Linked DNA regions of Elephas maximus indicus. The protein of the gene in region 1 binds, or shares a complex with, the protein of each later gene. Links are inferred from orthologs where the notes say so. Each region holds a gene or a part of one and is shown in the gene's direction. Other genes may lie near its edges.

Region 1 (8,129 bases):
AGGCCCAAATCAGGTGCAAAGAGAAGTAGCCTTACATCTCTTTTTGTCCTTTTACTTCTAAACAAAAGCCAAAACCCTATAGGAGTAGAGCTGCCCCATAGGGTTTCCAAGGCTGTAAATATTTATGGAAGCAGACTGCCACATCTTTCTCCTGCCATTTACTTCTAGAGCCAGCTAAAAAATTCTCTGAATCCCAAATGAGTTAAAAATTAATCTGAAGATATTCATTCAATAAACATTGAGTACTATGTGCCAGACACTGTTGGTGCTGTAGATACATTGAATGAGCTGAACAAAGGAGTCTATTCCCATGGAGATTACATTATAGCAGTCTTTTTGGAGAGTGACAATAAATAAGAAAATGCCATGAAGTGATAAGTTCTATGATGAAAATTTAGAAAATTGACATGCCGGAAGGGACTAGGGGCTACTTAATGTTGAGTAATCGTGGGGAAAGTTCTCTCTGGGAAGGTAACATTTAAATTGAGAACAGAGTGACGAGAAAGCTCCTTCCAGGTGAGCATCTGGGATGTACTAGGTTAGGCTAAGCTGACAACAAAGAGCTCCCAAAATGTCAATGGTTTATTACAACAAAAGTTGATATCGTACCTATCTTATAGTCCAAGGCAGGTGTTCCTACTTGACAAGCAGCTGTTTCATGCAATGATTCAGGGAACCGGGCTCTTTACATCTTGTAACTCTGACATCCTCTTTGCTTCTTCCCAGTTGATGGAAGAAGAAATATGGAGAAGGAATACCCACTCACTTAGAAGCCCAGCCTGTAAATGAATAGCTTCACTTCTGTTCACATATCATAGAGAGAACTCAATCGTATAGCCATGCCTGCTGCAAAGGAGGCTGGGAAGTATAGTCTAGCACTGTGGGAAGAGACAGTAGATTTTGGTGAACAGTTAGAGGTTTCAGGCACACTGAAGAAGAGCATTCCCAGCAAAGGTCCTCAGATGTGAACAAAGCTTGTGGACTGGCACACACCCAACAGAGAGACTAGACGATGAGTCAGAGAGGGAGGCTGGATAGATCAGCTATGGCCTTGTAGGCCAGAAAAAGAGTATAGACTTTATTCCAAATGCGATGACAGGAGCTGTTGGAGACTTTTAAATCAGCTAGATTAAAGCTGTCTTGTTCTAGTTTTTTTAGAGTTGTAGATTATCTGCACTTCTAGGTGCTGGAGCTAAGGTGTGAGAACCTGGGCCGTTGCTGTTTTGTACAACCCTTCTATCATCGCCTCTTCAGATGGGGATCAAACAACTTCACAATGACCAAGGAAATATTTACTCCCTCCTCTGGAAACAAATATATTCTCCTTGAGTTGGGGTGGGGGTGGGAGGATATTAGTCCCTAAACCATGCCCTACTTTTTTTTTTTAAAAAAAAACAATCCTCTCCAGTGACTTTTTAGGGGTATGGCAGGATGATGCCACTGGAATTTTTCCCTACCTTTTTCCTCTCTGAGGCGGTATACAATATTTGGAAAAAAGAGTAAAGGAGATCTGGTGCCCCTTTCTCTGGTCTTGCCTTCCTTTCCAACTTCTTCCCTCATTTGATGGAGTTCAGCAGTATGAGACTTAGGTGAGGACAATATTGTGGAGAAAACAAAAACCAAGAACAAAATCATTTTTCCTGCATCATTGATTTAGAAACTAAGGCAGAGTAACTTGCCTGAGGCCCTAGTGTGAAGTGTGAGTCAGTTCAGGCTTTTGACTCTTCATGCCCTTTGACTCAGCGTCTCATGTACTTTCCACATGATCAACATTCTTGTGCAATAAATGAATGAGCTTCAATTTTGAGTTTAAACGACTCCCAGTAAAAGGATTGATAGGCTTCCTGGTTTTTGTTTTTGTTTTTTCTTTTCAGGGTCACTCTGCTTTTGACAGGCAGGATAGATTCCATATTTGAGCTGTGGGCATGGTGCAGTTATCTGCACATCAAAACACACACTTGGCCCCCTACGCTCCCCTGCAAGAAGTCTCCTTAGAACTAAAACATCTATGCCACTCACTCACATACCTATGCAAACCTTAGAAATTTGATAGGCAGTGAAACTGTATGTGCCTCCTGAACATTGTAAAAAGTTCAATGTGACCATCTCCCAATGGGTGAAATTGAAAACAATATGGCAGGGATACCATGTCTTCTTACACTGTGGATCAGGTAGACACCCAAATATACAGCCAAGCAATAACAACACCTGTTGAACCTGCCATATGTCTGAGTCACGAGCAGCCATGTGTAGGAAGATGGTTCCCAGCAGTAGATGGCACTCAGCAGAAGATGGCTTGCTACTCCACAGCAGAGAAGGATCACCAAGTTCTTTGGTTCAGATTTGGGCAGAATAGATTCTCATGAGATGGGGCCATGTCAGGCAGGTTGGGGCCTGTAAGCACCCTGGCTTGGGTGGAGTGGGAAGGAAGTGCACCAAAGTTATCAGACTAGTCATTCAAGCCGGCTTTCCTCCTACTTAGCACAAACACCTTTGGACATCTGGCCATTTCTTTCCTCATTCAAACTGGTCCACTTCCCTCAGCCTTTTCTCTACCTGTCCAGTGACTGCAGCCTGGATCCCCTTGTTCTTAGTTTACCCTCTGCCTAGCTACACACACATACCAAACCCATTGCCGTTGAGCCAATTCTGACCATGGCAACCCCACAAAGGTAGTCTCTTACTTTCCTGAACTCAGTATAAATAAGAAAATGCCCTGGGTACTAGGTTTCATTGCTACAGAGACCTTGCTGCTTCTCCTAAATGGTGAGACCAAATCCCTATAAGGGGCACCTCCTAGAATAGTATACAAAAAATGCAAGGGAGTCCCTAGGCCAGAAAAGGATACAAATGGTTTCTGGAGTAGGATTTTCTGGGGTGGTATCTGGTATCTTGGCTCCACTACTTGTTATATGATTTTAGGCAAATGATTTAGCCTCTCATCCCCGGTCCTCATTTTCTTTATCTGTATGAGAATAGTTGTATAAGGAGTACATGAGATAAATGTATGTGAAGCATTTTATTCAGTGTGTGGCACATAGTTAATACTCAACACTTATTATTGTCATCATCATTATTAAGAACTCTTGCCCTAGGTCCTGAGGTGGTAATAGAAGGCATCAATCTCAGCTTTTCAAATAATTGTTCTCTTTCCTTTTCCTGAGGTTATTTTGTCCCCTTATCCAGTCACATAAAAACAAAACTGAGGGATGGGGAGGAATGTTTCAGGTGTGTGTGAGTGGGGTCCATCTTGGATGAGCTGTAGAATCAGTGTTTCAAATGCACTGTGACTGTGTCTGGGAGATTCAGGGATGGGGTAGCCTGAGCAGAGGAAAGGGAGGACATGAGGAGTTGAGAGTTGGGGTGCCAAGGAATAAAAAGGGAGGACTAAAGGGTGTATCAGGAATATATTTGGGAACCAAATAAATAAGCCAGGCAGGAGACAGAGAACTCCAAATGTAGGGGATTTAAGAGATGACGAATTTGAGGAGAGGTGTGTGTGGAAATAAGGGGAGTTGGAATGGTGGATTTCCAAGGCTGAGGTAGTTGAGGACCTCAGGTATGTGATGCTGAAGTGGGGTAAAGGTAGGAGTAGGAAGTGGTGTTTGGACCGAGGGCGGAAGTGAAGAGGGTATGTTTTGGAGGTAGAGAGGGATACCGAAGACCTGAGGTGGCCTAAACGTTTAGGACTGGGCAGTGAGAGTGAGGAATTGTGGAGTGCAGAGGCTGGCGAGGGCGGCGGGGAGCGGGGGCCGGGAAAGCCGGAGGGCTGGAGTCTGTAGTCAGGGCTGGGTGGGGGTGCTAGGGTCTCTGAGCTGCTTAAGGCCAAGGCCCGGTTCTTTCAGCAGGAAATGGCCAGGTTCTGGGTCTCCAGGTCGGTGAAAGCTCCAGGGCCTGGATTTCTGGGCTGATGAGACTGGGAGGCTGCGATTTCAAGGGAATCTCTGAGGTGGCATGGCCTGGGGGGTTCTGGGCTTGGGGGCTGCAGTCTGTGGACCGAGGGAGTCTCCAAGGTGTCTAAGTTGAGGAGGGCCGGGAGGCTAGGGTCTATGGGTTTAGGGGGGCATCCGGCCGGGTATCTGGGTTGAGAGCACCATCTGTGAGCTGAAGGTTTCTCCGAGGTCTCTGGTTCGAGGAGGGCCGGGAAGCCGAGCGTCTGGTCTGAGGGCTGGAGGGCCGTAGGGAGTCTCCAGGGTCCTGGCCGGCAGGGGCGGGGGACCCGAGTGGTAGGGGGTCTCAAAGTCCCCGGAGTCGCCTGGGCGCGGGCGCTGCGCGGGCGTCCCAGACGCGACCGCCGGTCTTGGCGCCGCCCCGCCTGACATCAGTTCCTGCCGCCGCCGCCGCCGCGCACAGCCCGCGGCCTCCTTCTCCGCCGGCCGCGCTCCGGAGCCGCCGGGCCACGGCGGAGCGAGGGGCCGGGCGAGGCAAGGGCCGGGCGGCGGGCGCCGGGCCCCGCGGCCGGCACGACGGAGTCCCCGCACGGCCGGCGGCAGCGGTTGGCGGCGGCCCCGGGCCCCCGGCGCGGGAAGAGGCGGCGGGGCGGCGGCGGCGCCATGGAGCCGCGAGAGGTGAAGGACCGGATCCTGGAGAACATCTCGCTGTCAGTGAAGAAGGTGAGCGCGGCCGCGGCGCCCGCCGTGGCCTGTTCTCCGTCCCAGGCCCCAGGTCCCAGGCTGGCCCGCCCTGCCCGGGCTCCCGACCGCATTCAGCGCCCCTTCTTCCCTCCCAGTCTGTGCCCGGGCCGGGGGTCCCGTCTGTCAGCGGGGCTCGGGGACACTGCCCTTCCCTTCCGCGACCCTGGGGGCGAGGAGCCGCCGGGAGCCTCGGGCCTGAGGGGAAGCAGGCCACTCACGTGAGCGCCGCGGTCTCCGAGCTGTTTTTAAAGAACAAAGTTAAGGTCAGCATCCTCAGCTCCTTCAAAAGCCAGGCCCGGGGCCCCTGCCTTAGAGGAGAGGAGCGGGTAACCCACCAGTGCCCCCCACTCAACCAGCAGCATCTCCAGAAAAGCTCCTAGGAGGACCTCAACTGTCAGCGCATCCCGGGGCGGAATCCACTGCATCTCCGGATTTCCTCCGGGTTCATCTCTAAAGGTGGCTGACAGGATGAAGGCAGGTTGATAGGCAACTAACAGTTCTCCCAGCTCTGTGTTCTGGAGACATTGCCTTTGATCCTGAGAAGTTCCCTGAATAATCTTGCTCAAGGATGGCAGTTTTGAAGAGGCTTGTTTCAGAACTTTGTTTGAGAAGCCGAGGTACTTGGGAATTGCATTTTGGATGGTGATCCATGGAGCTTGGTGACACCACAGACACTTGGCCCTGTGGGGCCAGCTGCAGTAGAGATCATTTCCCCAAATCCAGGTAGCAACGATTACATCTCAGGGCATGTAACTGTATTCCTGATGAAGTGAGCTTATCTGAAACAATCTCATGCTAGAAGATAGAATTCATATTCACTTACAACTCAAATGGCCAAACCAGAATTGAGAGTCAGATAAAGAATGTTGAAAAAATGATTTAGAGGTGGAAAAAAGACTCATAGCTTGTGTTTTACTACTTCAGCAAACCAAAGTGAAGAAAATTAATTCTCACCATTATATTTAAATAATTGTTCTTTGTCCCCACTTAAATTCCTCAAAAATAACATAGGCAAGCAATTTTACGTTTCATGGAGATAATTGTACCTTAAAAAGAAAAGTAGATCCAAAATGTTCTTACTAAAACATTCTTCTAAAAGCACAGCTAAAGGGACCCTTGCAAAGATCCAACAAGAGTTTTGTTTATTTAGTTTTCCTGAGGTTTGCTCATGCAATAGGATATAGTTTTTGCTTACTCCAGGAGCGCAGGATAAGCAAGTGCTTTGTTAAAAAGCAATACAACTGTCATAATGGAAGAGAAAGGAAGACTGCTGACCTTTCTAATCTAATCTGGGCTGATTGTGGCTTCAGACAGGTTGACCTGTCTTTGCATCTTGTCTTTGGATTTGAAACAAATGGATGGAGAAAGTCCCCAGTGAAGAGGTGGCGAGCATAGATACTCTGTCCCCTGTGTAAACACAGATCTTTTGAAAGCAGAGACCCATACTTCAAATCAGGCTCTCACTTATGAAAGTTGTTGTTGTTGTTAGGTGCTGTCGAGTTGGTTCCGACTCATAGCGACCCTATGCACAGCAGAACGCAACACTGCCCAATCCTGAGCCATCCTTACAATCATTGTTATGCTTGAGCTCATTGTTGCAGCCACTGTGTCAATCCACCTCGTTGAGGGTCTTTCTCTTTTCCGCTGACCCTGTACTCTGCCAAGCATGATGTCCTTCTCCAGGGACTGATCCCTCCTGACAACATGTCCAAAGTATGTAAGATGCAGTCTCACCATCCTTACTTCTAAGGAGCATTCTGGTTGTACTTGTTCCAAGACAGATTTGTTCGTTCTTTTGGCAGTCCGTGGTATATTTGACATTCTTCGCCAACACCACAATTGAAAGAGTTGAGTGTATTTGTCAAAATACTTACAATTGCCTGTGTTTGGACAAACACGTTTTATTGAGCTGTAATGGAAACCTTGGTGGCATAGTGGTTAAGTGCTATGGCTGCTAACCAAAAGGTCGGCAGTTCAAATCCACCAAGTGCTCCTTGGAAACTCTATGGGGCAGTTCTACTCTGCCCTATAGGGTTGCTTTGAGTCGGAATCGACTTGACGACAGCGAGTATAATGCACCTCAAAAATATAATTGCACACTAGAAACTGGAAGCCTATTCCTGGTTACTTCATAACCAAAGGCATGACTAGCATCAGTGTTAAGGACATGAATTCTGGAGTATGACTGCTTGGATTGAATCCCCGCCCTGCTCATTAATAACCCTGTAACTTTGGGCAGGTTCTTTAACCTCTCCATGCCTCAGTTTCCTTATCGATAAAGCAGGGATATCGTTAGGATTGTTGTGAGGATTACGTGAAATTATGTATGCCGAGTGTTTAGCATGATGCCTGGCCCAGCCTTAATAAGTGGTAGCTTTTTTGTTTGTTTGTGGCAGAACCAACTCCTGACTTTGACAGGGTCTGAAAATGTCTCAAGTGCCTCGCCACCTAAAGGTGGTTTTACAACATCATTTGGACCTGTTAGCCACTTCCTTTGTCTGCTGTGTTTCAGGGAACTATGATATAATTCTTGCATCATGGAATTCATTTGTTTTTCTGAGTCAGAGTAGCAGCTTCTAATGTTCCGACTCACAGTGACCCTATGTACAGCAGAATGAAACACTGCCCAGTCCTGCGCCATCTGGACGATTGTTGCTATGCTTGAGCCCATTGTAGCCGTTGGGTCAGTCCATCTCGTTGAGGATCTTCTTCTTCTTTGCTGACCTTCTGCTTTATGAAGCATGGTGTCTTTGTCCAGGGACTGATCCCTCCTGATAACATGTCCAAAGTATGTGAGATGAAGTCTTGCCATCCTTGCTTCCGAGGGGCATTCTGGCTGTACTTCTTTTGGCAGTCCATGATACACTCATTATTCTTCTCCAACACCGCAATTCACAGATGTCAGCTCTTCTTCAGTCTTCCTCATTTATTCATCATCCAGCTTTCACATGCATATGAGGCAATTGAAAACACCCTGGCTTGGGTCAGGCACTCTTTAGTCTTCAAGGTGACATCTTTCCTTTTTAACACTTTAAAGAGGTATTTTCCAGCAGATTTGCCCAGTGCAGTGCATCCTTTGATTTCTTGACTGCTGCTTCCATGGGGAAACCCTGGTGGCTTAGTGGTTAAGTGCTACGGCTGCTAACCAAGAGGTCAGCAGTTCAAATCTGCCAGGTGCTCCTTGGAAACTCTATGGGACAGTTCTACTCTGTTATATAGGGTCGCTATGAGTCAGAATCGACTCGATGGCAGTGGGTTTTTTTTTTTTTTTTTTGGGTGGCTTCCATGGGTGTTGATTCTATTTCTAGGGGGAATCTGTAAATTTCGCCAGAGCAGTAGCTGTTGATGGTGTGGGGCTAGGTTTGTCCTTGAACACCAATCTCAGCTAAATCTGTTGGTTATACGGCACCTTGAGAGTTGCTTTGCCTTTTTCTTCCATCCTACCACTAGTAAAATGGTCTTACTGGTTCTTTCCTAAGGACGTTGCATGAAAAA
Region 2 (8,314 bases), on another chromosome or scaffold:
CAGTTTTAAAATAATGGGGAATGTTCGTTCTAAAGAGAAAACCTCTCTGACTGGTTCTTGCTTCTCTTTTCCTGAAGGTCTACACTCTCCCTTTAAAAGACAGAATTGTCCTTCTGCCTTTTGCAGATTTTGGAGGGCTGTCTATGTGACCTGCAGTGATATTCATGGCCAATGAGAAATTCTGGCTCCTTGCCTGACTTGGCTGAGTACAGTAATGTCCTGTGGATAAGGCCCATGTGTTGTCATTTTAAGATGCTATTAGGCTGATAATCAGGCCAGTGGGACCATATGGAATGTGTCACACCCATTTTACTCTTTCGTCCAAACTATCATCACCTTGGAAACGCTGGTGGCATAGTGGTTGAGAGCTACGGCTGCTAATCAAAAGGTCTACAGTTTGAATCCATCAGGCGCTCCTTGGAAACTCTATGGGGCAGTTCTACTCGGTCGTATAGGGTCTCTGTGAGTCAGAATTGACTCGACGGCAACAGGTTTGGGTTTTTTTTATTATCACCTTCGACAAGTGTAAAGGTAACCAAAGAGATGCCCGAGAGACCAGATTTCCAGGTCCCCAAGCTGAATGACTCATTTACTGAAAACGACTTTATTGAGTTAAGTAGAAATGGTTCCTGTTCCTAAGGAGATTACAGTTTTAAATCCTGTCCCGGTAATACTCTCTCCCTCTGTGAATCAATTTTCCCATAGGTGAAACTAGAATGTTCTTCAAAGATTTGTCCAGCTCCAATGGCACAGAACATTACCTTTCTTATATAAACAGCCACACAGCAAATACGTGGGTCAGTCTTATCTCTTGCCCCTGTCTTCGCCATCTACCTTCCCAGAGCCCTAACTTTTACACAGGACGTGTGAATGGGTCCATGTGTTTGAGCGTGTGATCCTGGATTCCTAGCCTTTTGACTAATTCTTGACAAAGTTCAAAGGGAACAGTGCACCCACAGGACTTTGTACACTATTGAACTGACTTCAGTGGAAAATGCCTTATCAGTGAAAATATCAAATAAAGCTGATCTCCTCACTCGTATTTTACAAATGAGAAACCAAGCATCTGAATTGTTATCCAATTGTCTAGAGTCATTTTGCTCCAGAAACAGCAACTAACATTTAAAAAACCCGAGCCATCAAGTCGATAGGACAGAGTAGAACTGCCCTATCAGGTTTCCAAGGAGCAGCTGGTAATTCAAATTGCCAACCTTTTGGTCAGCAACTGAGCTCTTAAGCACTGTGCCACCAGGGCTCCATGTGTTAATACTGTGCCAGACAAGAATATAAGAGCTGTATGTGGACTCGTTCATTTACTCCTCACAATAACCCTTTGAGGCAGATAACAATGTTATCCCCCTCTTCAGGAAATGGAAGCACAGAGAGGTTAAGCAAGTTAAACAGTTCACATAGCTGATAGGTGGAGAAACAGTCAATCTACCTATGTAGCCTGTATTCAGTAAATATACCTTTCTGCTTTTCATCACTTTCATTAATCTAAGTTAACTTTATTTTATTTAATCCTCATTTTAACGCAATGAATTAGATATTATCAACGGTGTGCTGTTAAATGTCTAACAGCCTGTTCTCTGGGGAGCCCTGATTTAGTGTTTGCCAATTTCTGTAGTGTAAATACTCACACCATGACCAATTTCAAGCTACAACATGACATCCCTGAATACAGAATTGGGGAGATACTTAATAACTCTCCTTTATATAGTATTTACACCACTGTCTTAGTTACCCAGTGCTGCCCTAAACAAAATATATCACAAGTGGGTGGCTTTAAAGGACAGGAATTAATCTCACAGTTCTGGAGGCTTAAAGTCCAAATGCGGGTCTCAGCAGTGTCGACTCCGTCTGTGAGCCTGTCTTCTAGTCTCCGGTGTCTGCTGGCAATCGTTGGTGTTCCTTTGCTTGTGGATAATCTTTACCTGCTGTCTGTCCTGTGCATATGTGTGTCTTTGTGTCTATTCTGCCCTTTTTATAAGACACAGATTAGAAGTGTCTGGCATGATCTGATTAACATAACAAAAGAAAAACCTTAATTCCAAACAGAGTCCCATTCATAGGTACGGGGGCCTGGAATTCAACGCGTATTTTATGGGGACACACAATTCAATCCACGACAACCTTACAGATACGACACCTGTAAACAGCTTTAAGGGCATAGATAATAACAAAATAATTAGAAAGTGAAGAATTTTGAATATTAATCGCCTTTCTTTTCTATAAATAACCGTAAGTTCAGTGAACAAAGGAAGCTACAGAGAAATGTCTACAAAATGTTCCTACTTTTGTATATAGGAGAAACTTCCCTGCCCCATATACATGTATAAGTGTTCAGTTGATTGACAAAAGCTGTTAAAATTCATTTCCTCAGAGCTGGGGGACTGAGCACACAAGGAGACAGACTATTACCCTTTCCTTATTACACCTCTGGATTGTTTGTTTTTTTTAATAAACAATATATTGTGCTTTTGTGATAAAAATGAATTTATGAATTCTTTTGTTCTTTTTTTTTTAAGTGAGAAACTAGAATTAGGAGGGGAGGATGGCTTTTCCATTAACTAGGCATTTTAGAAGTGACGTTAACTACAATGATTGTGAAGGCTGAGGAATGTCCAATTCCTTATTTTGAAACGAACTTATTTCTTCACTTGTTCATCTGTTTACTTGTCCCTCTGAGACAGCAGACATCTAAGTGCCTCCTAGAGGTGGTCCCAGGAGCTGCCATCACTCCCTTAAACCAGTAGTTTCCTGAGCCATTTCACTGCTTCTGCTCTTGTCCTCCCACAGTCAATTTACCGCAGAGCCTCCAAAGGGAACTTCTCCAAACATAAATTAGATCACTCTCCTGGCTTCCCATCACACCATGCTCTACTTCATCTGGTTCCTTCCTCTTTCTCCATCCTCATCTCTTCCCACTCCCTGCCTTACTAATCTGTGCCAGCCATACTGTCTTTCTGTTTCTAGAATATTCCACGCTTCTTCTGCCTTCAGGTCTTTACCCTTCCACCACATGCCTGCCTATCTCTCTTCCTCAGCTCATCTAGGTCTCCACGTCCAGGGCCACCTTCTCTGAGGGGTTTACTCTGACCCTAAGTGGAACAGGGTCCACTCCTTTCCTCTTTGTCTCCTTCTCCTGTTCCGTTTCCTTTAGAGTACTCATTATTACCTGTGTTAGAGCTTATATTTATTTATTTATTGTATTGTATGTCTTCCCTGCTACAATGTAAGCTTCACAAGAGCAGGGATTTTAATTTGAAAATCTTGAAGATATTTTTATTTACTTTTTAATTAAATTAAATTTTTGAACAAGCAGCTGATTTACATGGTTAAAAAATCAAAATGGTATAAAACATTGTTCAGAGAAGTCTCATTCCTATTCCTGCCCCTTGCCCATCTGATTCCCCCATCCACATAGGAAACTATTTTCGTTAGTCTTTTGTTTATCCTTCTAGTACTTATTTATGCAAATATAAACACATATATATGAATATATTTATGTTTATATACGTAAAAGAACATATATATGTTTTGTTAGGTGCTGTTGAGTCAATTTTGACTCATAGAGACTCCATGTAACGGCGTAGAACTGTCCCATAGAGTTTTCTTGGCTGTAATCTTTATGCAAGGAAATTGTCAAATCTTTCTCCTGTGAAGCTGCTGGGTGGGTTGGAACTGACAACCTTTGGGTTAGCAGCTGAGTGCTTAACCATCAGGGCTCCTTGAATATATATATATATTCTCACTTTCTATGTTATGCCAAAAGTATACTATGTACATAGTTAGCATCTTGCTTTTTTGTCTCTTGAAAATATTTCCTGGAAATTATTCCATATAAATCCACAGAAAACTTTCTCTCTCTCTCTTTTTTTTTTTTTTACAGCTACATAATATTCCATTTTGGGGATATACCATAGTTTATTTAATCTGCTCTTGACTGATAAACACTTGCGGTTTCCCATCTTTTGCTACTACCAACAATTCAGGACAAGTTTTTTTTTTTTTTTTGTCATTTTTATTTTACAGTTTGTAAGTAATTCCGATTTTAATAATGTTTTATAGACCATATAGTGATCTCTCTCTCATATGTGTGTGTGTTTGTGTGTTTTAGGTGAAAGTTTACAGAGCAAATTTGTTTCCCATTCAACAAATTGTACAGGAAGTGTCCCATGACATTGGTTGCAATCCTCACACTTTGTCAACACTCTCCCCTTTTCTGCCCTGGGTTCCCCATTTCCTTTTACTTGCTTTTCCTACCCCTTCCTGCCTTGTCATCTTTACTTTTGGTCAAATGTTGCCCTTTTGGTCTCCTATAATTGATCTATGGGCAGGTTCTTTTCAGGTGTTACTGTTTATTTTATGGGCCTATTGCTTGGCTGGAAGGTGGTTTCCAGGAATGGCTACAGGTTCAAGTCAGAAGGTTAATTTAGGGCCATGGTCTCGGGAGTTCCTCCAGTCTCTATCAGGCCAGCAAGGCTGGCCTTTTTCATGAATTCTATTTTTTGTTCTACATTTTTCTCCCACTCTGTCCTGAACCCTGTATTGTGATCCCCATCAGAGTGGTTGGTAGTGGTAGCTGGGCACCATCTAGTTCTTCTAGTCTCGGAGTGGTGTTGTGTAAGCTGTAGTGCATAGGGTCTGTTAGTCCTTTGTACTGATTTCTCTCTTGAGTCTTTGGTTTTCTTCACTCTCCTTTACTCTTGGCAGGAAGAGACCACTAGTTGCATATGACAAGGATTTTTACTTTGTGCTAAATCCCCCAAAATCTTGAAGTCTTCCTGCACAGCGTAGAGGCTCAATGAACAATTGTAGAATGAATGAATGAATGTGTGAACGAAGGTTGAATGATCCAACGATGAACCAGCAAACGAGCGACGGTAGAAAGGGAGCTGCAACGCGCCCCGTCGGCGTGGTGTGCTGCAGAAATGGTCCACCAGGTGGCGGTGCAGGCGGCGGGCGTCCCGGGCCGGCGGGCCACGCCGCTCTTGCCGTGAACGCCGGCGGCGGCGCGGGGACGGCCGTGGGGGAGGACGAGTCATATGACTCTCTCGGCTTCCTGGCTCCGGCCGCCGCCGCCCGCCCGTGTCCGCCCGCGTCGTGCCGGGGCCCCGAGGAGCCGTTGGGGGGTCCGGGCCGTGGCCCTCTCGTGTGGAAGCCGCCGCAGCCGCCGCCGCCGCCGCCCACCTGCCCACCCGTCCGTCTTCCCTCCCGGCCGCCATCATGCTGGCGCTCATCTCCCGCCTGCTGGACTGGTTCCGCTCGCTCTTCTGGAAGGAGGAGATGGAGCTGACGCTCGTGGGGCTGCAGTACTCGGGGAAGACCACCTTCGTCAATGTCATCGCGGTGAGCGCCCGCCGCTGTGTCCGCCTGGGACGCCGCCGCCCGTGAGCCCAGCCCAGCGCCTCGTCGAAGGCCGCGAGTTGGGGCCCCCCTCCGCGCGGTGGAGCCCCCCTCCGCGCGGTGGGGCCCCCCTCCCCGCCGTGGGGCTCCCCTCCGCGCCGTGGGGCATGTGGGGGCGGGGGTGCCGAGCCCGACCTGTCACCTCCCCAGGGGTGAGCGTGCGGAGCGTCCCGCGTTGTGGCGGCAGAGCCGGAGCGCCCAGCTCGGCGGCTGGAGGGTTAATTGGATTTAGCTGTCGTGCTCGAAGGGCTGTGCCCTCCACGCGGTTGCGGCTTGGAAAGGGTTAAATTGGGCGTGTTAGCTTTTTAAAGTGTTTGGGGTTGGGGCTTCTCTTGGGTTAGGTTTGTAGGGGCAGCCGAAGGGTTCACGCCAGCCTGCCACTGTCCCCGAAAGGTGGGATTTGGCGAGTCTCTTAGCTCTGTGAGAGAGCTGAGATTTGAACTTTAAGTTGCCACTTGGGACGAAGAGTCCCTTTAGGAGGATGGCAGGAGACCGGTGTGGGCTTCTTGAATTCTGTGGGCGGCCGTTTCCTTCTAGTTCTCTAAATCGCCCTCTTCATCACTTCTTTTTCCTAGTTCCCCTCCCACCCTCTGCCCCCCGGGGGCCGAGATCTAGCTGCTGGCAGCGCTCACTGGTCCTTTCCGGGGAGGGACAGCGCCCGCGTGTCCACAGTGGTCCACAGTGTTTATTAAGCTAAGGAGTTAGCGGCCCCTGCTTTTCAGGAGCAAGGAGATAAAGTCGATTTGCAGTCAGCATAAAGCCAGCAAAAAGAAGAGCTATCTTTTGAGGGTGTTTCACTTTTAAAGAGAAGGAATGGCAGGAACATAGCTTATTCCAGGTTCAGGGAGTGGGTGTCCAGGAGGGAGATGACCCTGGGAGTTTGTAATGTGGTGTTTACTAAAAAATGACTGAGTGGAAGAATGAGTTTAAGTTTTATTTGTTTGGTGGGGGGGGGGGGGAGGGAAATAGGCTTTATTTAGAGCGCAGGAGTTGGTGTGACTCAACCTTAGCTGATTGGGGCTTCTACATGCCAGGGATGAGCTTTAGAACAGTTTTAAAGAGAGATGGCAGCATTCTTCTGCCACTTTGTAGATGACTGTGTAATCCTTATTTAACAGGAGACTAGCTGTCCGACTGGTTTGGTTACAGGAATGATTCAAACATGGCTCTCTTGTTGGAGAAAATAGGTAACTTGTGAGCTTAAATTTTGCAGTAATAGAGCAAAAGCAGTGAGTAAGAAGAATTGGAGAAAAAGAGATGAACAGAAATGCAAACTTCCTTTGCAGAATGTAGTCTATAAGTATAGAGAAAATGTTTGTTGAGTCTTATTGTAATATTATTTTCCCCTCGCCTCCCCCCATCCCCGTTTGAATGAGTGTCTTTTCAGTAAGTATAAAAGAGTGTGAAATGTGTATCTAATGCCACTGAAATTAATGAGGGAAAGCAAACTTTAGGCTACGTATCCATATTAGAACTGTTATATGACGTGGAAAAGATGAGGCTTTATTTAGCTTGAGTGAAGTGAGCTCAGTTAAGCGTAAATTTTCTGATATTCCCTTGAGATAAGAATTGGAGTCACTTTGTAAATCCTGTCCCTTTGGTAAGATTGAATTAATTTGTATTGTAGATAGGTGTATTACTACAATGGTTATATTTGTGGTAGAGAAATAGTTATGATTGGGAAACATAAAAGAGTAAATCTTTGAGAAACTTCTGGTTGATTTCCATGCTATGTTTTCAGTACATAGTGCATAATGAGCGTGAACTTTGAAGTTAGGCAACTCCGGGTTTGAAATCTGGCTCTGCCACTTGGCAACCTTATATCCTTTGAATCTGTGCTCTCCTGTCTGTTAAATGGGGATAATAGTATGTTCCCTACAGTGTTTCTCCGGGAATTAAATGGAATGACAGATACAAGTTCCTAGCACAATGCCTGCCCATAGAAGGGGTTAGGTAAATGGAAACTGTTATTATTTGTAATGGGTACAGTCCTTTAATGCAGAAACAGTGTTTGAAATTTATTGAGGAGAGTCTCAGCTGGGATTATTTCCTTCTTTGAATCTACGTAGTATCCAAACATGGGCTGCCGTAGTGGATTTGTGTATTATGGCAAGCAGTCACATCGAATCTTACGCAGTATTTTAACATTAAGCTGTATTCTGTTTGAATTGTAGTAGTTTGTTAGGTTCTCTTAAAAAAAATCTGGACTGCAGCTAGCTGGGACCTTTCAGATGCTGGAAAAAAAAGGAGACCTCAGTAAATTTCATACCTTTTTTTTCCTTTTCAACCTCTGACTCTAATCTAATCTGTGATTCTTTCAGAATATATTGAGAGTGGGGAAAAGGTTAGTGATTAAAGATGATTTTATAGACTTTTAGACAGACACAGTGTGTCCTGAACAGTAGATTTAGCCTTACCTTAAAAAACAAAACAACCTGACTATTCTTCGTGTTTGTATAAAGTGTTCGGTCTGTTGACTCAGAGAAATGCAGTTCTGTTGAGCACTAAGTCATTTTCTGAAGTTGGCCATTTATTCAAATTCAGCAAGTAACTTTGGAGGCATGAAAGGCTTCAGGTGAAGCCATTTGTGTTTTTGTAAAAATTAAAATGTTGCTAGATCTTCCTTCAAAGTTAAGAAAAATTTAATAGATGTCATTTACCTTACTCAAAATGTTTGTGAGACTGAAATACTTATATGCAGAATTTGGACCAATTTTAAAAGATTAGGCAGCTTCATTACAGAGAGGTTCAATCTTAAGAAAATGTATATTGTTGTAGTTTTAAAATTGAAATGACACCGTATCTTAGCTAATATTTTATATAGAGACAATCGCTATATGTAGTGTTTTCTTTAGGACATTTTACAAAAGAAATATTCCTGGTCACTATTGCTAAGCATTGTGAC

The links.
Region 2: the proteins of PLEKHM2 (region 1) and ARL8B are in contact, whole or in part, in a crystal structure (PDB 8JCA), measured with the Homo sapiens proteins. The link is inferred for Elephas maximus indicus from reciprocal best matches to the Homo sapiens genes PLEKHM2 and ARL8B. Residues at the interface, in NP_055979.2 of Homo sapiens: His70, Phe71, Thr72, Arg73, Arg74, Glu75, Glu103, Ser105, Glu107, Ser108, Tyr109, Arg111, Leu112, Glu115, Glu147, Phe148; in NP_060654.1 of Homo sapiens: Glu22, Thr52, Val53, Gly54, Phe55, Asn56, Met57, Lys68, Trp70, Arg77, Phe78, Arg84, Tyr85, Arg87, Gly88, Val89.

What each region holds. Positions count from the first base shown.
Region 1 is NC_064821.1:55,427,158-55,435,286, forward strand, and holds the start of PLEKHM2 (pleckstrin homology domain-containing family M member 2), read left to right. Parts: upstream 1-4,439; 5' UTR 4,440-4,553; coding exon 4,554-4,613; intron 4,614-8,129. UniProt on the Homo sapiens protein: Plays a role in lysosomes movement and localization at the cell periphery acting as an effector of ARL8B.
Region 2 is NC_064838.1:29,413,470-29,421,783, forward strand, and holds the start of ARL8B (ADP-ribosylation factor-like protein 8B), read left to right. Parts: upstream 1-5,016; 5' UTR 5,017-5,229; coding exon 5,230-5,352; intron 5,353-8,314. UniProt on the Homo sapiens protein: Small GTPase which cycles between active GTP-bound and inactive GDP-bound states.